Drosophila melanogaster: one gene and its partners. The protein of the gene in region 1 interacts with the protein of each later gene in a pairwise test. Each region holds a gene or a part of one and is shown on either strand. Other genes may lie near its edges. The genes, in order: CG1394, CG14153, opa and CG42659.

Region 1 (7,265 bases):
GAAATGCATTCCCATTTATTTATCGCATTCATTGCATGTGTTGTTACTGCTCAAGACAGGGAATTTCAATTTCAAATTTAAGTAAATTAAACCGACTTACTAAATTTAAATTTAAATAGTTTTATTGCAACGTGTATAGCTTAACTGTGAATATTAAACTGTCTACGAAAATTGTGTGAATATGGTGCTTCATATTTTCTGTCACGGCAAAAATATTAAGATGAAGAGGAAAAATACAAAAAAAAAAAAGAACAGAGCTCCTGAAGCTCCTCCGCCTACATGGTCTCGCCAAGTGGCTTGATGATCAGCTCGTGCACCTGGACATGTGGCGGTGTGGCGATGGCGTACAGCACTCCCTGTGCGATGTCCTCGGAGTGGAGCATTCGATCCTTGATGGCCTCCCTAATGCTGTCCGGCACGATCTCCGTGTCCACCACGCCCGGACTGACGCTCTACGTTGGCGGAAAAAGCCAAAAAGGGGTTAGAAAAATGTTCAATCCGAAGAAAGTGGAAAATGGAAAGCGAACCAACCGTAATCTTGATGCGGGTGCCCAGGCCGAAGAACTCCTGGCGATATCCTTCGGCCAGCGCTGTAACTGCATGCTTGCTGGGCGGATAGACGTTCACATCGGGCGCCACGCCCTCCGTGGCCGTCATGGTCTTGTGCCCCAGGATGCTATTGATGAGCACCACATGGCCGTCGAACTTGCGCTCCCGCATGGAACGCACCGCTCGCTGGGTGCACAGCACGATGCCCATGATGTTCGTCTGCAATACCTGCTGCATTACGGCCGGATTCATGTCCACCAGATAGCCGGGTTGCAGGGTGCCGGCATTGTTGACCAGCACATCGATGGCGCCCAACTTTTGGATGATCCAATCGAAGGCCTCGTTTACGGAACTCTCGTTGCCCACGTCGCAGTAGAGGGCAAAAAGTTTGCCGCGCTTCTCCGCCGGCAGCTCCCTCTGCAGCTCCTTGACGCGATCGACACGTCGGGCCAGACCCACCACCGTCATTCCGGCTAGGACCAGATCCTTGGCTATGGCCGATCCGATGCCCGAACTGGCGCCAGTGACGACGGCCACGCGATTCTGCCAGCGTTCCATGATTTTCGATTGCGATTTCAACGATGATTACTCGAATCTCGGCCAGAAGATCCACTTTATATATCGCTGCGATGGTTGCGTGCGCTCTCCAAACGAGTTCTAGCCTAGTACACTGAGAGAAAAGTTCGAGCCAAACAATAGAATAAATATATAATGACTTGGTAACATTACGATTATGCTAAATTCATGTAATTTTAGTATAAATCATCGAATCTTTTTTTAAGAATAATTTCCCAATGGGCATACCCATTTTTTTGTAAGTGCATCTCGTTAGCGTGTTGAGAAATTGCCATCTCATCACTGTGACAATCAGCCACGCCCTGTGATACGACAAAAGGGGCGGCAGGCGTTGTATTTGCATAGTTAGAAACGATGAAACTTGTATTGTTTTTTGTACTTTACAATGCGAATCTCAAGAACATATATTTATACGAAGTGCTCAAGATAATCATACGGTGGAAAATTGGGTCTATTAATCTTATAAATGGTTTGCACCTAGTTATTTAAATTTGATTTGTTTAAACTAAATAGAAAAATCGAAATATTTACAATGTAAGCTTGATTTGTGCTTTAATTATTTGTATAAAAAATAAAACTTCAATATTTGACTGCCGAGTGAAAATAACAATAGTAACCTTTGCCATACATCACATTTTGCCTATTTAGTAATTAGCATATAAAATATATGCGATTTGAGTTTACAACGCTCTTCTCACATTCAATTTGCCGCACGTTAACTCATCTCTGTATTTATTAATGCAATTAACCCACCCACCGATTTGTGCCAACTGATTATTTTCATATCTTATGGATTTATGACATTTATTTTATACATTTTCGCCAAGTACGAGTCGTTTGAGCTGCACAAAACGGACGTTTGGTTCGAAAACTAATTGTGTATGTATATGGCCCATATGCGATTCACTTTAGTCGTTCGGTGAAGATGCTCGTGCTGTCATTGTTCGTGGCATCGATCCTACCAGAAGCCACCCTTGGATGCACTGCCTCCGCCGTAGTTCATGCTCATGTCCATGCCGTTGTAGGCGCAGAAGGCTTCGCCATTGTCGATGCACGGTTCATTTCGTCCGGGTATGTCTCCATATATTGAACGGTCCACGGGTGGCGGCACTATATGCTGGGCTCCTGTAATGGGCATGCCACACGACATGGCACCCGGCATGGCACCCGGCATGGCACCCGACATGGCACCCGGCATGACGCCCGGCATGGCACCCGGCATGGCAGCCGGCATGCCACCGGCTCCTCCGGCGTATGGTAGCATGGAGTGTGCCTGAGCTGCGCCCTGGCTAGGCCAACCTCCTAGTCCGCCGGCTGATCCTAATCCTGGTGCTGCTGCTGTTGCTGATAGTGGTGGTGGAGCGGCTGCTCCAGCGGCAGAGTGCTGCATGAAGTCACCCATCTGCGGATAAACGGGAGCATTCAACGGCTGGCCATTCCAGTACGAAAACGAATTCGACATATTGTGAGTTGCGGTTGAGTAAATCCTAAATACAAATAATTTGGGAAAGTGGTGAAAAAGAAACAGTTTTTCTTTCGATTTTTTTTTTTTTGACCAAATAAAAGTTGTACAAAATTTTGCTCCGCTGAACGGTGTTTACTGTTTGGGATCTAAAATATAACTGATAATCTGGAGCTCCGGCTGGGGTACCTCGATTTTTCGGCTTGACATTTAATTTCATGGATATGTTGATTGGAAATTTTTGGAAATTTTTTTTCGACCGATTGCAGTTGGCCATGAAAATACATACGATATTAAATTGATTGTTTTACCTTGGCACATATTTTAGGTTTAGCTCTTCCATAAAATGCCTAAGAGTAAATATATTTTCTAAATATTTTGAATAGCAAATTATAAGTTACCATAGTATATATGTACATCATCGTAAAATATTTGATTTATTAACCTGACATAAGATTGTTCATAAAGGTTTTTGTGCTTCTAATTCAGGTCATTCCGTGTTATTTAGCATACAATTTTATATTGTGATAAATGACATTTCTTTTTATTTTCATTTCATCTTTTTGCTCTTGAGTCTTGATTCCTATTTCTATGATTTTTTTTTTTTGGTTTAGCCTTGTCGGAAAATGGGGGCGGTGGGCGACCGAGGGGCGTGGCATGGCCAGCGTTGTGTTTAATTTTTGAAAAAGGACGCCAACTGTCGTGATGCAGCACAGATGATAATGACGAAGACGCGGCAACAAACGTTTATTTACACACTGGGTATTAAATGGGTATTAAAGACTTGGTACCATAAAATAGAAATAAAACATTGTGCATCTAATTACTTTGCTAACTATAAAACAATTATAAAACTGCATTAAATTCGATTAAAGTAATTGAACATTTTGGCAAATATAAGCAATTATATGCTATTTCGTGTTTAACTTTCAACTTGATCTTATAGCCCATCTAACACGTTTTGATTCACACATGATTGGCATTTAAATACGGTATTTTTAAGGTTCTCACCCTCTTGGCCATTCACATTCCACTTGATTCTTGTGCCAAGCATAAAATGCAAAACACTTGAACTGAGTGAAAACGAAGGCGAAAGCAAAATAAGCAACAACAAAATGTCTCATAAACCAACCAGATGCAGTGAAAGAAAATTCATACTAAAAATATATACATATATAACAAATGTACAGTATAAATTATTACTTTATAGTTCTAGTTGACAATAAGGAATTAAATGTTTCAACATTGCGTATGCTTAATATTCAATGCTGATATTGCGTATACGCAACGTTGGCCGCATTTTATTTTTAACTGTGCCTGCGAATATGAAGAATAAGCAGTAAGCTGAGAGAAAAATAAAAGAACGCAACATGGCAGGGTGTTGATAATGATAGCAAAGACAAAGGCCCACGCCTAATGGGACACGGAATGACGACTGAGGGGCGATGATGAGGCGTTGGCCGGATGGCAGGATAGCTGGATGCTTGGATGGTTGGATGGTTGGATGACTGTAAGGCCGGGTGACCATCCGACTGTCATGCCCACGTCCTTGACGCGCTGCAGTGGCGACAACGTAGTTAAATTGCCTGTCCTCGGCCGGCGTCAACATTGTGTCATTGCTAGTATTAAATCAGAGCCAAACAAATGATGATACATAAGTGCGACACAAGTGCGCAAAAAAAAGAAAAAAATATACAAACACAGCGAAGATTAACCGAAATGCTGGGTGGGAAAATTAAAATTACAGCACATAGCTTTGGTGCACTGAAAGAAAAATCCAGCACATTTTAATATTCAAGGTTCTTACTTTAACTATATAGTAGTTAAATTGCAATAAAATTGAAGTTATTTAAACCGATACTATTATTTATGACTACACACTGTGCACTTCTTGTGCAAAGAAATTTGTCTCAATATAAATTATGCTGGAATTCCTCTGGTTTTTCGTGTCTTAAGCGCTGTAAGTGATCAACTGAGTTCATATTTCAACGCCTGACCTTGGGTCATTCCAAATTATGTGATGCCAACTATGCCGGATGGGAGACTGATGGGCCAGGGCAGCTGGGTTGGCGAGCTGGTAACTAGAAAAGGGCAGCGGGTAAAGCGGGAAGACAAAGAGGCCAGTGCATAGCATAGTTCATCAAGTTTGCAAACAAACGCATACCACAGTCGGACTTCAAGGAGGCGAAGCGTCTCGAGGGGGGTGGGGGACTTCGACTTGGGTCAAATATGTTAGCAGTTGCATTCTGTTTTGGCTGGGAACAGCAAACATTCAAGTAGCTGGCAAAGGACAAAGGACCAGCACAGTGAGCCAAAATGACAAAGTAAATATAGTAAGGAAAAAAATTGACTTACAGATTAATTACTAAGTTAATTCGGTCTTTGAGACTATGTATGCAAAGCAGTATTGAATTTATAGCAAGCTTCATAAATTATGGAACTTAACCCATAGATTTATATGACTTCCTCTTAGTAAATCTTCACCACTGTAGCACAGTGTAGTTTTATCGCATTACTACAGCCGGTGGACCACTTTTTCTCTCTCTTTCCATTCACATCTACCTATTTCTTTCTCCGCCTCTGTCTGTTCGCCATGGGTTTCCTCCCATGCCATTAGCAAAAATGGGTAAATAAGCTTAGTTCAACTCTACTTCGAGTGGCGACTTTGGTGGGTGGGAGCGGGATGGCAAATGGCAAATGGCGGGAGCGAGATGGGGATAGTTGCAGGGCAAGTGGCGGGCGGGCGGGTGAAAGTGGTGAGAGCACTTGAAAAAGTGGCAAAATAATTACCGATAACACAAATGCCCAGGCACCGATTCCGAACGGTTGAACTTTTTTCCGTGTGCCCGCCATTTTTCCCGCCCTTTCATCGCAATTTTCGCCCGCCCTTCCACGTGGCTTTTCCTGCTTTTCGCCACCCCCTCCCCCCCCACACCCAACTCTTTCCTCTCTCCTCGCCGATTTCCTTTTTTTTTGTGTTTCGCTTGTAGAACTCTGGCTTACATAAATTCAATTGTGCGCCGCTGCGAGTGTGTTTGTGTTTGGCTGTCAGTGCAGTTAGGCTAAACCGATTTGTCTCATCCCGCCTTCACCCGGCGCACTTTCCCATTTTCCGCTCACGATCCTGAATTTCCCTGCAGGATATGCGCTGTTTTCAAGAAGTTTTCGATCAATGCTAAAATATTGAATGCCTTATGTTTTATATTTTATTTGTATTTAAAAGAATTGAAAAGTAATCTCAATCTTTGGATTTGTTTCTAATACTATTCCAAGGTGTTTTTAAGTGGAATTTTAAATTTACCTTTTGTATATTAAAACTATATGAATCTGCTTTATTGATTGAATAGTTATTTTCCTGATATGCAAACATAATACTCCGATTTCCTTCCCCAGAGTATTCACTCCATCGGCGTTGCGACTTTGAGGACAGGCTTTTCACCAGTTTTTCCCAACCTTTTTTTTTTTGTTGTTTGCACTGACCAGTTGACTTTGCTGCTCTCTGCGTCAATTGATGGCCCTCGAATGGACTGAACTCGAGCGGACTGAGTGGGGTCTTGAAGCTCTAGTCCTGCCAAAAAAAAGAAAAAAAAAATGAAAAAAAAACCGAAAAAAAATATATCAAGTATCGTTTGTCAAGTCAGAGCCAACATTCGATAATGTTAATTTGCAGTGGTAAAATCCAGTGAATCCGAATATATTGGGCTAGTAGTTAAGCCCAGTTGCGGTGAACCCCTTAATGACTGCCGTCTAATCACTCCGCTTCGGTGGAATTTTCTTGGGCGGATTTCTGGTCTCTCCTTGGTGCCTTGGAGCGTGGATTCTTACCGCATCACATAGCCATGCCAATTTATTTAATATGCCGTACGTGAGCTTCCGCTTGCTGTGCTCTTCAGCCCACGTTTATGGCCACTGACTCTGATTCTCGTCCTTTTTTCTTTTTTTTTGTATCCTGGCCAGCCTGCCCGAATGGCCTTGTGTGTGTTTTTACTTTCTCGCATTTCATTTCATTTCATTTTACTGGACGTTTTCAAATTTTTCACTTGAGTGAGCTTTAGCAGGCGGTTTCACATCTTTAACGATGTGCAGGCGAAAAAAAAGTAAGAGCGAAAATTTACTGCAGGAACGCAGAAACAGGAAGAGGACTCCGAACTGACTGTCCGACCATTTGTAATAACCAAAGCCTCTGGGGAGACTAGCATGTGAGAGGTCCAAAGCTCCTGCACTAACAGTTGGGCACGAAAACGTATGTGAGTAGTATTGTTGGCAGTTCAAAAGACATATAACTTTAAAAAGCACTTTAAAAAGAGTAACTTTATTTAGTACGTAAGTAAGTAATTAAATTGTCAAACAAGTTGCAAAAGAAACAAAAGAACAATTAAGAGTGTAATTATTGTATAATGATGTTTGGTATGTATTTGGTTATTAGTAATATTAAATATCCAATTGTTGATGCAAGAAGTGTGCACGATTTTCTCAGCGTGTATGCTCATGTATAATCAGCTGTTTGGGCTATCCTAGTCTTCCGGGCAGCTTACAGCTAAAGAGGATTCCGGCAAGGACGCCAAGACCAACGCGGCGAATTGTGTTCGAGTCGCAGCTCATTCGTCCTCATCGCCATCAGTCTTCTTGGTCCTGCTCAAAAAGTGAACCCAACTTGGTCCAAAATCCAAGCCAAGTC
Region 2 (7,450 bases), on another chromosome or scaffold:
GGCAAGTTCTTAATCTTTCAGTGCAGCGCTGCATTTTGCCATCCACTCAGACTGTTTGTTGATATGCGCAGCGATTTAATTATAAACACACAACACGTGCTAGTCCATTACAGTACAAAGAGGTGTGCAAACCAAAAATAACATGCGTTTACTTTTTAATAGAGTTAACCCACCACTCCGACATATCCATGAGCTTGAACTTTGCAGGCCACTGAGCCGTGTGTAATTCGCATGTTATCTAAGCCATCCAAACTGGAGTTTTGGGTCGAATCGAAGGCGGGGTTTGGCTATATTTAATTCTACATAATGTATGCCATAATATGCTATAATCGCTTAAACACGCGAACCCATCAGATGGGGGCATATATATATAATTATCCAATTATGTGCGTTGTTTGACCAAAAGAAACTGAATCGAAGGCCTATAATTAAGTTAACTAACTTTGTTTAGGAGCATCATATACATTAGTAGTAGAAATATACTGTATTCCAACAGCGAATATTTACGATTAAATTTATTAATCGCACAGGGCAGTCAATTCTTGAAAAATTATTCACTCAACGGAAATATGACTTTTGAAACTATTTCAAATTTTAAAAGCGGAAAAAGTATATCAGACTAACAATCATGAAAATCTACTATTAACAGAGTCGAAAACGGTTGCACTCATTATTTTCATTCCATAAATTATATCTTTAACACTAATTTCGCTGACAATTTAGCTGGCCGTCTAAAGAAAATAAAATATTTACAGTATTATTAGCCACTTAAAATGCATTTGAAAAATGCCAAAAGACCTCAATTGAAATAATCAACGCCATTTGCTGATTGTACGACTGTACGAAGTGAACTCTTCACAACATGCAATGACCGTTCGTTAGCTCCAGTTTAGTTGTTCCGCTGCCGTGTGGGTTTTCATTCGACTATTTTATGTTATTTCATTATTATTTTTTTGTAGATCATAAAGCATCGATAAAAATCGCTGCGCTGCCGGTCAATGGACGCGGCTTGCCACATCGTTATTGTTGCATGTGCCACAGAAATAAAGACGCAGAGTTTTTCTCGATGAAAACTCGCCGGCCACAATGGCTTGGCACGCAGTTTGCTGATTGTTATAAAACAAATGCATGAAATGTGGTCAGCAGGCGTAGTTTTTCTCCAGGGTACCGTAAAAACTAGAACCCCTAAAAGAGTGCACTGTAAGAAAAAATTATGGATATTTTAGATTAGTGTATTACATACGTAAGACCTAGTTTATCTATCAGAGGTTAAACTATAACTATATATAGGAAAGTCTATCTGTATCTGTAGTCTGTATCTATAGATACAATTAACATTTTTTTTTTAAATTGCAAAAGGTTTCGAGTGTAAAAATGTTCCAAGTCTAAGGTTCGCATGCCAAGCTAGCATTTAATCCTTCTTAGAGCCAAATGTATTGACTTACGCTTTTCCGCCTTCGTTCCTGCGAATATTTACAGGGTGCCGGCAAGGAAATCCGAGAAGCCATCGCCGATCCATCGCCGGAGGTGACCGCCAAAGCCTGGGCGGCGGTGCTGCCGTTGGTGAACAAGCTGAAGCGCTGCTACGAGCATTCCATGGAGCTGGACAAGATTGTGCCCAAGCTGCTGGGCCAGCTGGTGGGCGGAAAACTGAATCCGACACAGCATCTGGAGACGCAGCAGGCGCTGGTCAAGCAGCTGGCCGAGATCTTGGAGTTCGTGCTGAAGTTCGATGAGTACAAGGTGAGTGAGTTGAGTTTAGTTTAAGTTTGCTCACTTTGACAGCTGGGTGTTACAAGCTCTGTAGTCCATATTTGGATGTAACGACGCCCACGACGTTAACCCATTAATGGCTGGAGGTGGGAAAACCAGGCACTGACAACAAGACATTGCTTGTGTTTGACAGGGCAACATTAGTGGGAAATGGGTGGGTTATTAAATTAATAAAACAAAGTGATTGAGAGGGCTCTTTAATTATAAGTAAACATTTTACAGTGAAACAAAAACCTTTGCAGATACATTTTATGTCAATAATACTTAAATTTTCAATAACAAAGCACTAAAAATGGCATAAAAACTTAAATGGATTTTTACATAAATCTTAATAAATCTAAACGAGAGACTAGTAATCACTGCAAACGAACTGGTAATTCCTGTAACTTTGCAGATGCCACAAACAGCAAAGAGATGCAAATGTTGACAACGTCTTATGAAGGCTTAATTCAATTTAATCTCCGTCTGTTTGCAAAAATGTTAGTGGGTTAAATTCAGTCTTCTTCACTGTTTGTTTACCTTATGTGGGCGCTGTCGACAGTCGAGCCAAAGCAAAGCAATATGTATCTAAAAGCCGAGTCAAATGAAGCCAAACCGAGTTCCACTGCCAACTCATGGTGCGCGTGGTTGCATTTTTAATTGACTGACTTTTTTTTTGCCCACCGACTACTGCCTGTTTTTGCTTGGCTAACTGACTGAATGGCTGACTGACTGATTGGCTGACTGACTGGTTGGCTGAATGGCCAAGACGAGCGCGTGCTGCGGCCCATTGATGAAAAATCTTTCGGGCCACTCGTGCACATTCGTTGGGGGGCCACAGTGGAGCATCGCTGGCACTTACGCGCACGCAAGCCAAATGGCCCACGACAAACGACCGATGGCCGGATGAAGATGTAAAGTGTATTATGTCGGCTTCGGTGGCCTGACAGTGCGGGTCATTAAAGTAGAATATCTCACTTATATAAGAAAATTATAAAAATGTATGTACAAGACGGAAAAATTAGATTGAGAAAGATTTACAAGGGTACAATTCAAAAAGTAAACAAGAGGTTATTTATGAGAGCTAACAAATGTTTATTAAGTGCGTGTGTAAAAACTATACAGCGTTTTTTTTTTTTGTGATTATTATAAAAGGAACGTTGTTCAGTATTTTTTCATTTTCCTAATTTTATTTTAAATTACCTTTTCCGTTCTTGTTTGATTATATATTACTCATTGCAACTAACGCACAATAACCACACTATTTTCCTAGCATAAACTCTTTAAAAAATGCCCACAAAATCAATAGGTTTTTAATGAAATTCAAACACTCAATTATGTTGGCTAACCTGAAGTGTTTGGCCATAACAAAGGCCTGTGAACTATGCAAACACAAACGTATCCCCGCACTGGGTTAAAACACATTACACAGAGCCACATCAGTTTCTGCGGCAGTTGGAGGATATGCCGGTTGATTGTCTGGAGTCAAATAAAATCGATTTGTTTAATGGCAAATCCCTGTGAATGGCGCATTTCCCATGGTTCGCTTCCGTTTGGCGAAACTTTCATTCAAATCGATTGTGGAGCACTATATGTATAGCTGAAAGCTGGGATCTAGGACAATCGGGTAAATAATGGTGGAGGTAGGGAATGGCGAAGTCATCGCCATCGTCGGTTTCTAGTCTCTGATGTCTAGTGTGTCTGCAACTTTGTGCTCCCGACGATAATGGTAATGATAATGGCGATGATGATGATGATGATGTTAAACGCTGCAAACTGCACGTTCATTGTGTGCTCAAAGTGTCAGCCGCCGGGCGCTCACAGATTTTCCCGTGTAAAAAGTTGCATATATGTATACACCGATATATATATATGTATGTATGTACATACTATATAGCCCAAACGTGCTTCCCAACTAACTGCCACTTCCGTTTCTCGAAGAGGAGGAGCATTGTTTCTGCGCCTTTGTTGCCACCAGTTTTCAGTGCGCCCCAAAGTATGCTGTACAATTTATTGACTTTGCTTGTAACTTGCTTCGTTTTAATGTCGCGTTTATTGCGAAAAATCTTGGGGCATCGAGAAGGCACTTGTATAGAGTACAATAAACTTGGCTTTAGTGCTCCTTTATGTAAGTTAACCACTGATATTCAAAGTTCAACGCATGCCACAGAATACAAAGAACATGCTTCAAAAAATGGGTATTTCCCTTTTAGTGAAGTTTTTTAAATTAATTAAAATCTTCTGAAAATAACTTTTATTGTTGTGTATCTCTTACGGAACTAACTAAGCATAGTTTTGTTACATACAATTATTATTATTCTTGCCTTTTAAAGGGATAAACCAATATTTACTGTGTTGGCATGTTGACTCTACAGCAGCTGCAATCTGTATCTTTATCGGATGCAATTGATCTGTTCCGAGTACAGACAGAAATAGTTTTCTTGGCACGCTTTCAACGAAAATTGCTAATGGCTCTTGAGGGGATTTATTCAATATGTTTTTTGATGCAAAGTCAAATGCAGAGTATTCCCCTACTTTTCAACAAAATCCTCGTTGGTGTTGTAAACTGGCTGCAGGCGTCTTGGATATTTACGCAAATATTCGGCAAAATGTTGGGCATATTTGGCCTGGTAATCACGACGCCTCCAGGGCTGAGCGGGTTCATAGAAATTCTCCTTATTATTGTACGTATTTAGATAGTTATTTGTGGCCAATGAGCGACTGCCGCCAATTTGGACCACTTGCTCCTCATCGCGACCCGAATCGCTGGTCTCCAATTCCGGATTCCTTTGTGGATATGGCTGAAGTTGAGGTGGAATTTGAGATTGAGGATAGCGCAGAGGTGTTGATGGCGTAGTCTCCTGTTGTTGATAGTAAAAGTAGCCGGGCACATTGTTATAGTTGTGATTGGGAGCATGTGTTGGGTCTTCCCTTCTCCAATTTGGATATGCTTGTCTATACGCAGGTTCCGCAACATAATAACCATTACTTTTTGGATACTGCTGCTGTTCCTGGGCACTGTACTGATTATCATTCACTATGATAGGCGGACCCGACCATATCGATTGTACATCTGGATTGGCATAGTTGGATTGAGCGTAGTTGGATGTGGTAATTGCATAAGCACTGCCATAAGGTGATGCATACTGAGCTCTCCCACAAACTGCATCGATCATCAGGGGCATAAGTGCACATAGCTTGGAATAATCATTAATAGATTAATCATCTCGGGTGTCCGAATGGAAATCTAGTGAAACACTCACCCAGCTCGACGAGCTGCTCTTCACGATCCGTCCTGTTTGCGGCTTCATTTCTGACTGTTCAGAACGATTTATGCTAATAACGTATTTATATGAGGTTTCACAACAGTCTCTCTGGAAAGCCATATAGTATATATAGTATAGTAATGTATAGTAGTGCATGATGTTCGTTTGCAGCAGCGCCTCTGTCAAGGTGATTGGATGAGCAAACCCCACTTTACCTGACTCAAAAATTTAGCAGGCGGCATTTCTGTAATGTTTGTATTTTTTCTCACGCACGTTTTTTTGCAGCCCTGACAGCTTAAGTGCGGCATCGTTGTTTTGGGCCTGGCCCGTAGTGGAAAACCATTTGGAAGCATTGGCAACACGGGCGGCAGGCAAATTGCGGTGTCACGTACCGCGTAATTAGTAATTAGATTTTCAAGTCAACTGTAATTAGAGGTTAACAAGAGCGAGTGTTGAAAGCAACCGATAGTTGCATACCTTATGATCTTGTTGATAAAGCTGCTTGCTAGAAGAAAAACTTACAAGTCCGTTTCCCTACATATGTATCTTATCTAAAAATATGACTGAACTTCAAAATTAGAAACAATTCGAGCTTGCTTTATTATAGTAAAGGGTATCAACGTTTTCTTACTAACATTTTGTATAAAAAATACAAATTGAAGACTTATGTTTGAAATTTAGCTGGCGTTACTTTAAAATCCAATTCACTTCTACAAATTTGGTTGCATGTAATAGATAAAGAATGCCCCATCACGTGGCACTGGAAGCTTTCTCAGGAACTCGCCACCATCGTATGAATCGCTAAATAATTGGGTTAGATTGGCGTTGGGTTCCATCTGCTTGGAAATGGGCATTCCGTGGCACGTACTATCGCGCGTTAAGAACTAGAAAAAAGAATACAAAATAATTAGATTTCAGTGAAAAGAAAAAATTGTCTAAATATGACTATAGCTTAATATTTCAAGAACGACTTGCTTTAAACGCACCATCATCTCCCTTATGGTTGTCAAATTTTGTGGTGGCGGAGGATGATTGAATGGCTCCTTATTGAATATGTTATCGCCACAGCACTTGAGCAGATGGGATGTTATTATGTTCCTAGATCTGGCCTCGTCTGCATTTTGTGGTGGTTGGCGCAGCTTGTCCATCCACATGGTGGCCATCGTTTTGGAGCGAAAGTCCAGCTGGCAAATGCTTTGCTCCAACTTCTGAATATCCTGCTCGAATTCCTCGTCGAATTTGGTGATTTCTGGATTTACCCTTTTGGAGGAAGTGGATGGCTCCTTCCTCAGATGTTCACGCTGCAATTCCTTTTCACGCTGACGTTCCTTCTCCAGTTCCTTGCGCCACTCCTGCTGATGCTGCTTTTTCTCTCGTTCCTTTTCCCTCGCGAGTTCCTTTCGCCGCTCCAGTTCCCGCTTGCGTTCCATTTCCTCCTCCCTCCTGCGCTCCTTGCGATCCTCCTTGCGCTCGGGACTCGGATTCTTTTCGGGCTTCTGCGATTCGGAATCCTCCACGACGAAGGTCTTCTGTCTGTTTCTGCGAGCGGTGCGAATCAACATCCCAAAAGTTGATTAGAAAACTAACTAAATAATTTTCAATTTACCCTTTCATGTCTCGTTTGTAAATATTTTTGAATATGTTCCTAAATCCCGTACTGTTTTGCTTGCTCATTTTGACGGATGTTTCGAAATGATGCCAGATAATATTTCATTGCTAGGCATATTGCATACCTAAAATCATGTTCAAAGTGATAAACTTATTAAGTTGTATTGTATATTTCTATTTTTCAGATGAAAACCCCCGCCATACAGAATGATTTTAGCTACTACAGACGCATCGTCAGCCGACAGCGTGTGGATTCCACGGAGAATATGCTGGTCAGCACGGAACTGGCCAACCGGATGTCCCTGTTCTACGCCCACGCCACGCCCATGCTCAAGGTGCTGAGCGAGGCGACCTCAAAGTTTGTCAATGACAATGCCGATGATGTCCAGAACACGACGGAAACGCTGGGCACCATGGCCAAGGTGTGCCTGAGGATGCTGGAAAATCCGTGAGTTTAAATGAATCACTATCAATGATAATAAGTATTCTAATCGATGGACAATATTGCTTTTAGAAAACTCCTGCAACAGATCGAGCGTGAGGACACGAAAATGCTGGTGCTGCGCGTAATGGTCGGCCTGGTGATCCTCTACGACCATGTGCATCCGGAGGGAGCCTTCGTGCGTGGCGCCCATGTGGATGTGAAGGGGTGCGTCCGACTGCTGCAGGCGCAACCGGCCATCAAGGCGGAGCCGCTGCTGAATGCCCTGCGATACACGACGAAGCATTTGAATGGGGAGAACACGCCGAAGAATATACAGCGTTTGTTGGCCGCATAATATTGGAGGGGATCGGTGGGCGCGGCCGGTGTGGGCGGAGAGTTC
Region 3 (8,862 bases), on another chromosome or scaffold:
TGACATTTGCCAGCGCTTTGGTTTTCAGAATTTTGTGTTTTGAAAAATTATTGAATTGGCGCCGAGCAAGCAAAAAATGCATTGAGAAGTGGGCAGTGCAAATTATTTTGAAGTTCTATAATCATCTGGGTTTTGGTCCTGAAAACAACATTGATTCCTACAGATCCGATTAGACAATCTGACTAACGTGTAACTACTTCTCGTATAACTTTCTACGTGTGGAATGAACTATCATTCCCACCTCAGTTACCCCAAAGCTTTCTAAAAGTGTAAATAATTGCATAATTCACTTCATCATTCAGAGCTGAACAAGTCCATAAAAGACTCATTAAAAAAACACTTGCACTCAATTAAATGGAGCCGAGTTGGGGCCGAAAGGGGCATCCTGGCAAAAGGGGGAGCTAATCAAACAAGGGTCGCAGCTGCCAGGACAATGTTAAATGCTAAACTTTGCCCCGCAGCATAATTGCACAACAACAAGGCGCCTGGGGAAGCGGAAAGTGAGAGGTTGCACTTGAAAAGCGAGGAATAGCGGGGAAAACCAGAGGTGGTGGGCTTTGGGTGGTGGGAGGTTGAAGGGGGCAGCTGGGAGCTGGTTCGCAGCAGCTTAATGAGCTTGGAAGGAGCGGATGGGGCGCTACGAATAAAATCTAACCACAAAGTTGTTGAATGCTCTTGTGGCAGTCGGATCCTGTGGCCGTTGTAGGTGTTAATGAATAAAGTTGTTTGTGGTCCGCCGGGCGGAGCGGAGCGGAATGTAGTGGAGTGGAGTGGAGAGGAAAGAATCGTGTAAAAGATGGCTATGTGTGTGCAAACCGCACAGCGTGATAAACGCCATCTATCCAGACACACAGACTCTCGGGCCGGTCAACAGAGCCCCAAACAACAAAAAACAACGGCCACAGAGCAGACAAACCTTGATTGTTTGCCGGGTTTTTTGTGCCGAGTTTAAGGGGCGGAGTCTGGTGCTGGGGGGGGGGGGGGAATACAGGATGGACAGGATGGACAGGAGGCTAGCCAAAATTTCAGACGGTGACGGGGACAAGTGCAAAAGTTAACACAACGCAGTGACCGGACGGAACGGTGGGAAAGAAACAAAAAGAGACATATGCATGTGGTGGTTTGTGTGAGTTTGGGATCTATATTCTGAAAGGACTCTTCCCACTATTACTCATATATCAGTTGAATCGAATTTGTTTTAGATCATCGTAACTATTGGTAAATCGAAGCAATGCAATCTTTGTTTTAAATAATAGAGATATATGTAAGAAAGTAAACATAATTATTAAGCCGAGAGAAACACACAATTTATGAGGCAATAGCGAAAAACTGGATTTGACTGAGAGTTATTTCACAACTATAATCTCCTACTCTCGTTCCACACTCGAATCTTAAAGTCAACTCCTGCCGCGGTGTACTGACCCCTTCGATCAGTTCGAGCTGCTACAGTGGCACCATTTGGGCAGATCTATATCGGCTGGATCCATAAACACGTACTTGACTGCCCTGCTCCGTTTTACTCACCCACTTATCAAACTCGGACCCCTCACCCGTCCCATCGGCGAGGAGTGGAAGCCAGGTCGTAAATAACCTTTGCATAATCTAAATCAAAAGCTTAATGTAGCATGGCGAGTAACCCAAACAGAACAGCACAGAAACAATCGCAGCGCAAATAAAATAAAGCTAGAGGAGTGGAATGCGAATGTGCGAATGCGTCCAGTAATCCGGCGAGTGTTACCCCAATTTCGGTTTCGATGGCTTTTTTGAGAGGGCCAGCACGGAGTGCCTCGGAAGCATTTCCGAGCCATTTCAAACGGAAGTTTTGACACGTGTCAACACAGTGTGTTCGAGTGTGTTTATTTGCCCTGGGTCGGCGGTGTCAATGCAATAAAAACAAACACCAGTGCCAAGGGACATTTAGCCGAGCCAGCGATGCTGATTGAATTTTTGATTTATGCGGTGTGGAGGATGCTACTTCAAGTGCCCGAGTCGTATGGAAAGGTTAAAGGCCCCGATCCCAGCCAGATACCAGACCGATCCCAGCTCGATCCCGATCCGTAATGAAGTTGTGCGCCGGCCACTTGAAAGCTAATCAATATGTTGGCTATCTCCGACAATGTGTAGCCAGGTCAACCAATCATAGGCACACACAAATCAGTCAGAGGTCCTAAAATGCACTTTTCTGCTGCATCACGGCGGAGAAAAGAAATATGAAATTAGTCAAAAATATCATCATACAGCAACCAACTCATTATAATGCCACATGATTGTTCCAAAATCGAACACAATATGGCGGCGTCTCGAAATCAAATCGAAACATTTTAATTACCTTTCGATGAGTGTGCAAAAGAAAATACTGTTGTCCGAACAGATTTACAGAAATAGCTTTTTTGTGTGGCTAATTCTGTGATTTATGAATTTCTTTGTGAGTTTATAATCGCGGTAACTACAAGATGAAGCTATAATGAAGCCCGACGTCTTATTTTAATTCAATTTGGAATCATGAGGCCAAATTACAAAATAATAGAAATAAAGAGGCAACAACAAATGCCAAAAGCCAACATTAAAACAACAAAATATAAGCATGCTGGATATTGCGGAATATTGCTGGCCATATTTTCATTCTTCTCCTCCAATTTCCAAGTTAATTACGCCAAGGCTGAGGTCAATCAAGGATAATCCAGGACCAAGCGATATTTGCTGGAAAGTTTATTAACCTGATTGGCGCTCTTTTCACCAATTATGCGAAACTTTGTTTTGTGTTTTCGCATTTCATGTTTGCTTTCCCAACTTCCACTTGTTAATTGATTTTAATGGCTGTGTTTCGCCGCTTCTAATGAGCCCTACATGCTCAGCCATAAATTTCAATGGAACAAGTTCAACAGCCACTGGAATCAAAGTCATTAATTTGCGTTAAGCTCCGTTTCTGGCTTTATAGTTCGACTTCTCATAGATCACGACTATACCGCATAAATTGTATTTTAAAGCCTCCAACTATGGCTATGTTTTTTCAAAAGTGTTCAGGCTATGAGCTGCAAAGCGATTTTAATTTATTTTTGAAAGACAATTGAAAGAGAAATGCTTGAAATGGGCATGATTAATGATGGATTTAAGAAAAATTAATTATATTGAGAATTTGCATAGAGCGGTTGGCTATCAAAGTAATAGTAAGCCATTATTATTAAATAATACAAAATCTGAAGCCGACAACAAGGCTTAAAGTATAAAAAACAAAGGAGTAGCTAAACTAAATTTTTCAGTTCCTTTACAAATTTGACCAAGTTTCCAAACGTAGTTAAATACATGCCAGTCAAAATCCAAAGTCAAGAGAAGTCGCAGGCTTAGGGAAATACTAAGACCAAAAGTCGAAGTCAACCTAAAGCCGTAGAGTAATCCTAGCCGTAAGGACAACATCTTTGCGGGATTTTCTGGGCGCGGAAGAGCTTTGGGCGCAGGTTTTACAGGTGTCATAAAAGATGACCCGCCCGGCCAGTGGCGGGTTAAGCCAGGTAGTGGGCGTTGCAACGACTTTTGCCGTCGGTAACACGCTCACATCGACAACGTCCGGGATTTGCCCAGGCGGGCAAGGGTTATGCCCACGCAAGGTGAATTCTAAGAGATTGCAGACCTAGCATGTGCTATTCTAAATATAAGCGGTTAAAATCTGCATAAGGCTTCGACTTTCTATTAGTATTAAGATCTTTATAAAACAGGAATAATTACACACAGAATTTGACTGCCAAACCAAAACTAAATAAAAGTATTTTCTTAGTTTAATGAATGGTTTAATATGGTTTAAATATAAAGCGGAATGCACCGCCACACTTACCTGTATGCGTCCGCTTGTGGATCTTGAGGTTCTCGCTCCGGGCGAAGACCTTGCCGCAACCCGGGTGCGGGCAGGCGAAAGGTTTCTCGCCGGTGTGGACGCGGATGTGGTTGACCAGCTTGTACTTGGCCTTGAAAGGGCGTCCGTTGCGAGAGCAGCCCACCCAGAAGCAGGCGTGGGTGGTGCACTCGGGTCCGCCCACGTGCTCCACGGTCAGGTGGGTGACGATCTCGTGCATCGAGTGGAATACCTTGTTGCAGGTCTTCCTGCCGCCCGGGGGCACCAGGCCCGGCTGGTCGGGGTCTATCCAGAGGCACTGCATCTCCTGCTTAACGCTGGAGGCGGACGAGGCCGGCTGATGGCGCATGTAGCGCAGGAAGGCCCCTGCTCCGGCCGGGTGCATCGCGGACATGGCGTGGTGGGACGGGTGGTGCACGACCGGGTGGTGCACTGCCGCCGTCGGGAAGTTGCCGTGGTGGTTGTACGGGTGGCCGGCGGCGTAGGCATCCGCCATGCCCATTCGCATCTGATGGTGGTGATGGTGGCTGTGGAAGGGGTGTTGTCCGAACCCGGAGCCCAGCTCCGCGGCCTGAGCGGGAAAGCCGGAGAAGAGCATGGAATCCGCTGCGGCGGAGGCCTGTCCGGCGGATCCTGCCACACCGTACTCGGCCTCCCTCCTGCCCAGCAAAAAGTCCCGGGAGGCATAGCTGTTAAAGTGCCCATATCCGGAGTTCTGATAGGCTGCAGCAGTGGCCGCCGCGGATTCCTGATCCTGTTGCTGTTGCTGCTGCTGTTGTTGCTGTTGTTGCTGCTGCTGTTGGGTCATCTCCAGTTGCTGCTGCTGTTGCTGCTGCGCGTTGCTGTTACTGGCGGTGGTGTTGGGCGACATTCGCAGCCCGTAGCTGGCCAGGTGGTGCTGAGCCGGCTCAATGAAGGCGTTCATCATCATGGTTACAGTGTTATTGCTCGCTTATATGTTTTTAAAATTAATTCAGAAAGAACTGAACTACAAGTTTTCGATTCGCACTTTGCTAGGCCAATGAGCCCATCACGCACTGAGGTCACCTCACTTAGCTGTATATACTGTGCGCTTATTTCGCTCTTAGATATTTCGCATGCGACTTGATACTTATTTACGTAATGCACTCGCGCGCGATGCGTTTCTGGGGCGTTCGAATCGCAGCAAGACTTGACGCTAACCGAATGCCAAGACTTGACGTTTCAAGATGCGCAGCAGGACTGAAATGCTCCTGAAATTCTAACTCGCTGCTGTGTTGCCTCGTGAAAATATCTGCCGACGATCGCATGCGTGCGAATGGGATCGACCTATGCACGACGTAAAATGAATAGAGGGTAACGAAAGCGCGAGTGCGAGCAGGCCAGGCGTATGACCTGCCTGTGGTGAGTTGCGCTTGCCATGGTGTATTCGGCACAAGCCACCACTCTGTCGGATAGGCCTGAGCCATGGGTGCGAGTGCGACAACTCTAAGAAAATGGCCGCCTCCTCGCATGCTCCAGAGTCGGACAGAAGAGCACAGAGGCTGCGCACTCAGTCCAATTGGAACCCACCCGACCATAGCGCCCTCTCGCTCGGCAAACTGGTTTCGCGAAAATTAACACCCACTGCGGTTGGCCATTGGGTGGTGGGCCGACAGCGTGCGGCGTGCGCCTGTGCAGGGGGCCCAAATGCTGATTGGACCGACGGGCAGCCAATTGAAAGCTCGCGGGGATGCATTTTCCAGCCCGCTCCTCATTGTCACGGCGGACGAATAGCCCGCCACTTCGGGTAGCCCAGCTGTCAGCTTATCAAATTAGTTGTTTATTTTATTGATTTTAATGATATTAAGCACATTCCGTGCTCGGACATCGGAGATTTCCAGCCGTTTTGTTTAGGTTGCGCCATAAAGACGTACGAGATTTCATTAGCGCCAAACGCTCTGTTTTTCATTTGCTAATTTATGGAATTTTCAATAAGCAGTAGTCGAATCAATACATAATCTTGTATCAATCGACTTGATTGGATTCTGCTGAGTGTTAAGTGCCCCGGCAAAGTGGCTTTTGGGGCAGACTGTGAAGTGATACTTCGCCTGCATAGGGCAAAAATGTATAAATTTATTTTCATACAAAACATTTGCTTTGTGATAATATGGTATAACACTATGCTGTATGTATATAGTCAGACGCTCTTCTCAAAATATATGATTTTTTCTATTTACAATCCAAAAACTGAGCGATGCAAAAGGAAGGTCGTTAACATCAAAATTGTCTTCGTTTAGTATTCGTGTTTTGAACTAGTCCTCATCTGTAGATAATTTAAGGTTGATATGTAATTGCTGGCAGAGTATTAAAAATTGCTTAAGCTTTTAAAACGATAATAATTAAAATCAAATTGAATTTGGATATATATTGAGTAATCAAATTTTTATTCAAAAACAGTATTTTCTAATCAAATATATTGCCCTGAATTTATCGTTTGAGAAAACAATATTTCCTGGTAAAGTTTAAATGAGAATGAGAGCAAGAAAAGACCATGTGATTCCATGCTAATTACCTTGATTTCCGCAATGAATTAATTGGGGCAAATTGTGACATAAAGCGTCACCGCCAAGCGGTTCGGCTATTAAATTGTCAAAACAACTCAGCGGCAATCAGCAATCAGCGGACGGCAATCGACAGTCCATAGTCGTCCGAATGTCATACCGACCCCAATGCCATTTTGGGAGACGGGCAAGACCATAAAGCAGCGGAAAGTGCACCGAGCTGGCAGGCACCCAGTCCCGCAGAGCTCCAGCGACAAGTGTCACTCGAAATGAAGCCATTGCTCCATATCGATGATGGAGGATGAGGACGAAGCCGCCGGGTTGGAGCAGATGATGGGCTGCAAACGGAGCAGTCGGCTGAAGTGGATTTCTAGCGCACTGCCATAGAACTACTCCCATAAATAATGCCGTACGAGCCACTTGAAAATGGAAGCGCAAAATGCAATAAACTCTTAATAACAAAAAAGGAGCGGGGGAAACAATCTCAGGCGCTAGCAAACAAGAAATTATAAATTTAAAATGCCCAGATAAACAAAATGCAAGTTGGCCCAGCAGGTTGCAGCTTCTGTTGTTGTCTGTGATTCAAGAGGTCCATTTTGGACTAGACCGAATATCCACTTTCCAATGCAGAAAACGAATTTAACGACCCAGTCAATCATTCCAAGTTCAATAGAAGCTCTGAAGATCCAAGTAACATCAAAAATCTTGTAGCTTTTGCGATTTTTTAATTATCTTCCTCCATCATAGCCAACCATATGTTTTATAGTCGAGTTCTTTTAAGCCCTGATTATTTGCAATCCGTCGTGTTAGTAGACGTATTCATATTTTGGTGTCGATTTCACCCCTAAAAGCAGCGGACTGAACCCTCAGCTGTGCTTAATCAGTTTGGCCACAACCAAGTGGGCAACCAACCGGTGGGCGTCGGGGACAACCTGGGGACATGGCCGCGTGGCATGGGCACGGACTCATCAGAGTCAGAGCCGAAATCAAAATAAAACCGTAACCTGGCGTGGACGCCTTTGGCACATGCCGCGATCACAGCGGTGAGCACTGTACTGGTCTTTTGCCAGGGGTTCGCATGAGACCCGGGATTCCAGAGCCGAGACTCAAGATTCCAGTTCCAGTGCGGGATGGAGAGTTCCGTGCCGAGCCCACAGAGTGAATGGCCATGGTGCGAAAAGGCAGGGAGGGGTGTCAACGGAGTGATGTGGGAGCGTGGGAGTTTCCTGTCCAACTGGTTTCCTCGCGATTTCCTTTCATTGCTTCTATGCCGATTAATGTGCTTCAACAAATGGAAGTAAAGATGGAAAATGTTCAGATAAATATTTAAGCGAGCACATGAATTGTTTGGTACTGTATGAAGTATATACTCTTGTTAATTGCGTAGAAAATAAATCTAGCACTCTTTTGTGCAATGAAAGCATAAAGACGTTGCCACAAAGTTCAATAGTAAATTGCAAGAAATGCCTGTTACCATTACACACCACAATAATATCAAATTGAAAGAGTACGCCATTGAATGCGAGGTTAATATTTGGAAAGAGTTTCCAAAACTATGAACGATCTACATGGGCCTCCTTTTCATTTCAGCACGTGGTGAGCTCGCTCCACCCGAAACCTTAACCACCCACTTCCCGTTGCACAACCAATAAAGCAGACAGGTAAGAAGGCCCTGGCCAAATCCTAAAAGGCAATTCGCGAATCTCGAAAAAGGCGAGGACATCTGAATCAGAATGCTTAATCCCGGGGCGTGATAAACTGGCGATGCCTAGGAGGTAGTACAAGGATTAGGGAATCGAGACAGCTTAGGAAAGTCAATTTTTTTACGACCATGCCATGAAGACACCGGAACAAGGCAGCACATCTAGCCCACACATCGCTTCGAGATTCTCCAGATAGAGGGAAAATGAAAATCGTGGAAAATTATATGCCCATAAATATTTTGCCGGAGAGCGGACACGGCAATTTTGCTTCGGACGAATCATAAAAAAGTGCGTGACGAGAGAAGTGCTGACCGTAGGACACGGACTGACAAGGTCATGTCAACCATAAATATTTACATGCCATAAACACCAAGGTGAGGGCCGTCCTGGCAATCCTGGCCATACTGGCTCACATCCTTTTTCCGCAATGCGTTTTCCATTGAAGAGCAAAAAACAAAGGCGATCGGAAACCAGGAGACCTTGAACAAAATTTATGATCAGTTGCTGCTCGCAGTTTGCATTCGCAGGTAAGTCAAGTCAAGCAGTCAGTCAACTTTCCGGCCCGGAATCTGTGATTTACGAGCTGTTAGCCATCCCGGGATGGATTTTCATTTGAATTGTGACTGCTATTGTCCCTGTTTGTCCGAGGTTTTCTCGGCCATCGGCCACTTTTCGCCGGCATAAATTATGCCGTTGCCCGAGTCAAGTTGTTATGGTGGGCGTTGGTACTACACAAGCACCTCGTCCTACCTGGCCAGGGTACGGGCTTGGTTCAGCTTGAAATCCGCAT
Region 4 (7,018 bases), on another chromosome or scaffold:
TTTTCATATTGTTTTTTTTTGTGTTTTATTTTACGAAAGAGATGTGTTCAGTCCAAGCTGTTCAAAATGAATGAGCTCTCTAGGTTTCGAATCCCACAAAGCCCACAAGATGAGTGAAGTTTATTTCCAAGGCCAACTAGAGAAAACTAAAAATTTCCTTTTTTTTGCTTTCTATTCGACATAGTTGCTGACTAGATCCTACTCCTCTTCGGTTAATTCTGCCGCTGGCGGTGTTTCAGGTTTTACTACTACCGGTTCCGAGTCCTTTTTATCCTTTTCGTCTTCCTTGGAGGAGCCCTCGGAATTATGTTCACTGCCAAACTTAGGAAGCAATGGTCCTACAAAGGCACATGCCTTGCCTCCAATACTTTGTACCACGGAGCAGGCGCCATCCATGCGATCGCCCTCTACTAGAGGAGTTTCGCCCTCGACGGCGGACAGCTGATCCGCCACTGGACCACCGCGCCTCACAAGGTCAGCGATCGGATCACGGGTTTGGTTTAACACCCTGCCACCCACTTCAGTTAACGAACGGGAAACTACCATAAACAGGGCCACTATGCCCGCAACTCCGATGGCCGTGTGAACCATTTCCATATCTTGGGCAAAGGAGCAGGATCTTCTGGAGGATCAGGAGGGTCGATGTCGGATTTTTCGATCGACCACGATGACAAATAATTCTAGGGCTACTCTCCAGCCATCGCCGAGATGGTATTATAGGTCGAACGGGCCAAGTTTCGGATACTTCGCGAAATTTCATTTATCAGGTAGTTAATGTCATCCGAACTGACCACCTGCTCCTGGTCGACATGGTGCTCCGGCGTTGAATCGTTTACAATCAAGACTATTTTACGAACGGGCTGAATCATGCCGGATACATCGATCACGGGCTCCGACACATGGTGATCAACCAGAAATGCCTGATGCATGATGATCACCAATTGGCGGATTACTGGCACCACGCGATCGAGGACGTTGATTGCCATTGGGGCCAGTACGTGGTGTACCACGTGATCCACAGACGAGGACATGACCAAGAGACTTGAATTTTGAATTTAGAAAACTATTTTCACACAATTTGCGACCTGATAAACTAAAATTCCCAGGAGTTCTAATTTGAAATCTAAGCCATTTCGATTGGAATATTTATATTATTTCCCCAGCAATATTCAACAGTTTGGTGACGATGAATCAATTTTATTATTTCTCTACATAGATGTGTGCGAGGCTAATTGGTGTGCAGTTTCAAAGTTCAACTATATTTGTTCCCGCCGTTATTCTTGCATTTTATACAGGTACTCGTCTCGTCAATAGCTGCTATAGCAACGACTGTGCCAGCCACCGGGGGTGTATCCTTTGTAAATGTCGAAGTTGCACGGACATACTGCGCATCTCGGATAGGGGCCAATGTAGAAAGGGTTTATGGCCGGAGTCCAAGGACGACTTAAGTAAACCATTTTCAGCACTCGAAAGAAGTCTGCAAATCTTATTTTATAAATACATCTCCCACATTTTCTCTTTCGAAACTCACCGGAAATGGAAGAGAAAAATGAGAAATTTAAACAAATGTTTGACCAGAACAACACGTTTCGTGCTTGAAATTTGAATGAAGAAAATGCGTATGTACGCTTATGTGTTATTTTGTTGACATTTAAATCAAGAATGCTGGTTTAAATTTATTTGACTTCATTTTAGATAGATCATAAGAAAATGAATTAATTTTATCTGTATTTTTTATCCACAGTTATTTTGTGCTAAAATAGAAAAGAGCTGGTAATTTGAGGTTAATATATATTATTATTGTTTTTATTATTTATAGATATTCATTTTATTTATTTATTATTATTATTAATTTTTTTGAAATATAATGTTACAATATGACGGTTCGATGCCCAGGAGATGATGAGCTAAATGGGTTTAGCTCAAGATGTTTGAAGATATTAGCAACACACAACAAGGTTGTGTGTTCAGCACATCTCCAAAGGACTCCTGGTTCATTTTTGCAGCTTTGCCTTTTTCCCCACTACTTCTGTTCCCGGAGCTTCGGTTCTTTTTGGGCTTTCTGGTCCAGTGGTTGCTTCGCCGCGTCCTTGTTGGATTGTGGGGCGGGATTGCATCGGGGTAGTTGGGACTCCGGGCAAACTCCGCACTCCGGAACCGTGCAGTGGCCCTCCTCCAAGCAATCGGGGTCACAGCAGGGCGGATCGGGTCCAATGTAGCCCGGATTAAATATGCAAGGCATGCTGCAGCACCTCCACTGAAAACGAAGGTCGAGGCAGATGGCAGTGGCAAATTGGGTCCCACTTTATAGATTTTGTGAATTTACATAGATGCTAACTGGGTGCAATTTTCGGGCCGAGTGAGGCTCATAAATGTTCTCATTTCCATGGGTATTGAAACACAATGGAACGGGTAACTAGATGCCCGAGTTGCGCAAATCTCTAAACAAAGCTAGTTAATTTCGTACTAGAATCGATGCGAATAGCTCCCACATTGAACTCTATCTCCCAAAATCCGAATCAAAGTCCAATCGCCCTTAAAATCACCGGTTAGTGCGTGCAGAACGCTTATAATTATTTCATAATCGGGCAACACTTCAGTTTTATGGTGACAAAAGCCAGCGGAAAGATAACTGCAACTGCAGGCCATCGAAACTGGGCCACAAATGGCTGCAGGCACAAATATGGAATTTAAGTTGAAATTAATGAATAATTAAGCTGCTTTGGGCAGACGCTCGCAGCGGAAGTACAGCATTTGCATAGCTAACACAATGAACTACATACGGCCGGACAAGACTTGGCCGTTCATAAATTAGATATGCAAATGTAAATGCGAATGGAAAACTAACGGCAATTCCTTTGTCAATTAATCAATCAATCAACGCAGCCGCTCGCTGCGATCCAGAAAGCGATGCGGAAATCACTTGTCCCACATATGTACCTCTGCCCCCGCCCAGAAACTCCATCCATCGCCATTTCCCCCTGGCCACTGCATCTAGCTGCATCTGGCTGCATCTCCATTCATCTACATCACGCATGCCAATTTGCCTCAGCACGGTTTTTGATTGCCCGCTAAGTTCGGAGCGTTGTGAGCCCCCATCGATGCTTATCCCCCGGTTTTAAGGCGATGGCAGAGTCATTAGCATCAAAGGGCCATGGTGATATGACCAGCGCTCCTGGCAGCTCATCTGCACTGTGGTCTTTGCAGTGACCCAAAGAGTTTGAACCGAAGTGCTTTGACTTGGGTTAATTTGTGGGCTTTCAGCTTGGAAAGTATAAAAGTTTCACATGCATTGTTCAAGCACACAAAATACCGACAAAAAGACCGAAAAGGGTTTATTTTAATTAAATTGGATGTGATAAATCGAAAATAGTGATGTTTATGATTGAGGTAGATAGCATAATTTTAGTCAACACTTTAAGCTTATCATTATCATTAAAATATAAATAATTTTTCGGATTCGACCCACTGTGCAGCGTTGTCGGCTTTCAATGTCGCCGGCTGCAGCCATCAAAGTCGTGTGCACTATTTGTGTAATTTATATTCAAAGCGTAACGCGGTGCGTCGACTGCGTGTGTAGGTGGGTGGGGAAATGGGCGGTAAGTGGGTGTTGGGGCGGAGTGCTAGGGGGACGGTTCACTTGGTGGTTTTGGGACCGGTCACTCCGAGCAAACGGACTCTAGTGCCACTGAACTAAGTGCAGTCACGCGAACTGCTTTTAAGTGGCATAAGCAGAAGAACCCAATTCCTGCATAACCAATGAAGTTAAATATATTAGCTTACTCATTTTATTGCTCAGTTCTATAGACTAATAGTTTGAAACTAATGTGCAAAATCAATTAATTATTAAGAGATTCGAATGAGAAGCTCCTGTAACAACACATAACTCTCAGTGTAACCCTTAGATAGAACCCATCCACACTGCGACATTGTCTATCCGACTTCCGTTTGTCGGACGTAGTTCTATTACTTCTTGGATTCCGTTTCTGTTTTTAATAACTCAAGTTCGAACCCAAGTAGGCACACTTGTGCCGTCGTTACTGTTTGAGAAATGTATTGGAGGCCTGACAAAGTGACCGGAAGATGATACTGCAATAAAAAATGAGCACCCACGCAGCGACATGGAACACCATAGAGTGTTTGGCTTGGAAATAGAAAACCAAGTGCTGGAAATGAACATGAACCATGTTTTATATGCTCTGTGAGTTGTTGGATTTTCACTACTCGTAGTTTTTCTTCTTTTTCGTTAGCCATTTATTTACAAATGAACAATATTTATGGCCTCTTTTTGAAAGAGTTGCGCGGTCTGTGTGTATATATTTTGGGTTCCTATGCGATGGGGCCAGACTTCCGTCACAGCCAAAACATGGAAACGATCTGTTCATACTGAACATACATAGTTGTGTCTATTATTTTGTGGTTTTATTTCGGTTTTATGCGCGGAGCGTACCAAACATCGATTATGAATTACAAACTCTAAACGGATGGCAATCAGAAATGGTTTTGCTGAATAAATAATTCTAATTTGCCAGCAATTATGGGCTGTCAAATACGATTGTCCACTGATATGTTTTCGATGGTCGCGGAAAGTGTGAACTGAAGAACAATTAATAAATTTATAGTTTTGTGGTTACCGGAATGAAGTTTAAATGAATAACATTTTGGGTTCGGTTGACGGATTTGTCTAAGCTCATTACAATTGAGTTTTGCTTATGCTATCCAAAAAATGAGGTTTCAAACTTTATTGTATACTCTTAAAAACAGACTGGCTTGGGCATGAATTCTTATATGTTAATCCGGCAAAATATCCATGGATACGAAATCTAGATCTTCGAAAGCCAACTGGATTTATGGCTGTATAAGTAGCTAAAATTATTCCCAGCCTCTTATTACATCTAGCAAGTTGCAATTAGTGTTGTCACGGGAAGAATTTATGAGGAGCAATTGCAGAGGCTAAAACAGGAACCCTAAACGACGGCACTTAAGCGATCATAACTTTGCCCATGATAAATCGAACTGGAATAGCCTGCAGAAATTCCAGATTCTGGCCATGCAAAGCAATTGGACAAGTGGACAAAGGCGGTTACAAAGGCGAGGAAGTGGCCCAAAGAACCTCGAGCAGCTGCTGCCGCTGAAAGGCGAGACCGCTGAATGAATTGGGCTGTCGTTGTCTTGGCAATCAGCGCTACCGGGCATAGAAAGTTAACACACCCGAAACCGGCTTCGGTTTCAGTCGATGCAGCCAGTTGAATTTGCCAGTTGATGCACTGCAAAAATCTGCTCTCTTCTATACATAACTGGATATAGAACATCTATACATAAAAATCCATTTAATACAAAGCTAGATCAGTTTTAAGGCGTATTTAATAAATTTAAAAATTAATTAAATTTATAGAACAATTCTTTACTAGTCTATCTCTAGTTTTCTCAGTGCTCCAAAGTTGCTGCTTGCCAGTCACAAGTGGCAGGTTGCCAGTTGTCGCTGCCGCAAGAAACTTGCCTCCATACTGCGGCGGATGTGAGTTCCTGGGGTAGCAAGAGGAGCAACTGGTGGAGAGGGGCTTCTAAGCGTTTAGCTTGGCTTTTGCCTCGGTTCGCTGGCCCCGCGGAGCGCATCCAACTTCGAATTGCCGCAATTGCGTGTCGACCACAATCTTAACCAGCTGAAGAAGCGACTGAAGGAGGCGAAAAACTTTGAGCCAACAAGGATACACTGGAAAAGAATTATTCAAAGTTACATATTTCGAGAGATGTTAGAAAAAAGAATATTGTCATTGGGAAAAACCAAAATTATTCTATTTACTTTCTTTATAATATTAAAAATGTTGCTTCATAAAAGTTTGCTCTTTAGAATTACCTTTAATTTAAAAGAAATGTGGGCTTTCAGTGTCAACTTGAGACTTTAAGGGAAACGGGGTGTTCGGTCAGGTTCCGTCCCCACTTGAAGCTGTTTTCTATATTCTCCTGCCTGCCGCTGTCTGTTTCCTTTTTGCTTTTAATGAATAAGTTGGAACACCTGTTCGTCGTTCGTCTCCTGTCGAGATCTCCGTCCGTCCGAGTGTCTTGGAGCTCTGGTTCTGCTGCTCAAGTGTGACGGCGCTTGTGTGTTCTATCTCTGGATCGGACTTGGTCATTGTTAATACCCCTTGACCCAGGGTGCATTCGGCTGACAAGTAAACTGAGCAAATTTGTGCTAAAGTTAAATTTTGGAAAGATAGAATGAAAAGAAAAATATTCTAAAATAACTAAATAATAATTTTTAATAATAAAGCAGCACAAATTGCAGTCAAAACGCCATAATGTCAGACTAATTCTAGATCATTTTTCTTGTGAGTCGTAAGAATCGTAACATTTTTATTCCCGCGGAACTGGCTTGTCTGCATTTGATGCTTTAATTATCCAGTTGTTTGCCGAGAAAAGCAAATAGAGTCAGCCAAAGCTGAAGCTGAAACCAAAGACTCAAGACTTAAGTCAATAAATAACCTGTTTGAATATCATTACGCATAAATCTGAGCCAATGCATGGCCCCTGTAATCTTCATTCATTAAATCGGGCTCACCTGAAATCGAGAGCCGAGACATTGACACCCGAGGAAAAGGATGTAATGGGAGGGGGGGGGGGGGGGGTGGTGAATGGGAGTCAATGCCACGACAAGTGCCGGCCACGTCAAGTGGCAAAATTAAAACCAATTTCCCAGGGACTCTGCCGTATCACTTGCTCATCAGGAAAAAATAAGAGAACGAAGAAGTGAAGAGTCCTCCACACACGAGTGCTGCTGCTGCAATGACGTTGGAAGGGAAACAATGCGAAAGGCGGCCCAAGAGCACAACGAGATAATTGTAATGAAGAAATTCGCAGCATAATTGATGGAGGAGGGGCTCCGCAATTCACAGTAGCCCGGGAAGTTCAGATACTTGAGCTCTGATGATGCATCGACAGTCGTGTATGCCCCATCACCCCATCATATGGGGCCCCTTGGCCGCACCCACATTTTCAGCCGCCCTGAATGCAAATTGCA

The links.
Region 2: the proteins of CG1394 (region 1) and CG14153 interact in a two-hybrid assay, tested with the Drosophila melanogaster proteins (one large-scale study listed by BioGRID).
Region 3: the proteins of CG1394 (region 1) and opa interact in a two-hybrid assay, tested with the Drosophila melanogaster proteins (one large-scale study listed by BioGRID).
Region 4: the proteins of CG1394 (region 1) and CG42659 interact in a two-hybrid assay, tested with the Drosophila melanogaster proteins (one large-scale study listed by BioGRID).

Annotation. Positions count from the first base shown.
Region 1 is NC_004354.4:11,167,923-11,175,187, forward strand, and holds CG1394 (uncharacterized protein), read right to left. Parts: upstream 2,757-7,265; 5' UTR 2,588-2,756; coding exon 2,084-2,587; 3' UTR 1,889-2,083; downstream 1-1,888. Other genes in the region: Antdh (antennal dehydrogenase), read right to left, coding at 276-452, 532-1,107.
Region 2 is NT_037436.4:10,641,156-10,648,605, reverse strand, and holds CG14153 (uncharacterized protein), read right to left. Parts: upstream 5,079-7,450; 5' UTR 5,064-5,078; coding exon 5,016-5,063; intron 4,950-5,015; coding exon 4,284-4,949; 3' UTR 3,991-4,283; downstream 1-3,990. Other genes in the region: CG14154 (uncharacterized protein), read right to left, coding at 5,729-5,902, 6,005-6,580; CG32066 (uncharacterized protein), read left to right, coding at 1,480-1,743, 6,812-7,074, 7,141-7,405.
Region 3 is NT_033777.3:4,849,022-4,857,883, reverse strand, and holds the start of opa (odd paired), read right to left. Parts: upstream 5,072-8,862; 5' UTR 4,779-5,071; coding exon 3,830-4,778; intron 1-3,829. UniProt on the Drosophila melanogaster protein: Transcription factor essential for parasegmental subdivision of the embryo. It is involved in the activation of wingless (wg) in odd parasegments.
Region 4 is NT_033779.5:18,002,007-18,009,024, reverse strand, and holds CG42659 (uncharacterized protein), read right to left. Parts: upstream 1,666-7,018; 5' UTR 1,532-1,665; intron 1,478-1,531; 5' UTR 1,458-1,477; coding exon 1,308-1,457; 3' UTR 1,183-1,307; downstream 1-1,182. Other genes in the region: CG42635 (uncharacterized protein), read right to left, coding at 199-597; CG42634 (uncharacterized protein), read right to left, coding at 687-1,031; CG5693 (uncharacterized protein), read right to left, coding at 2,024-2,242.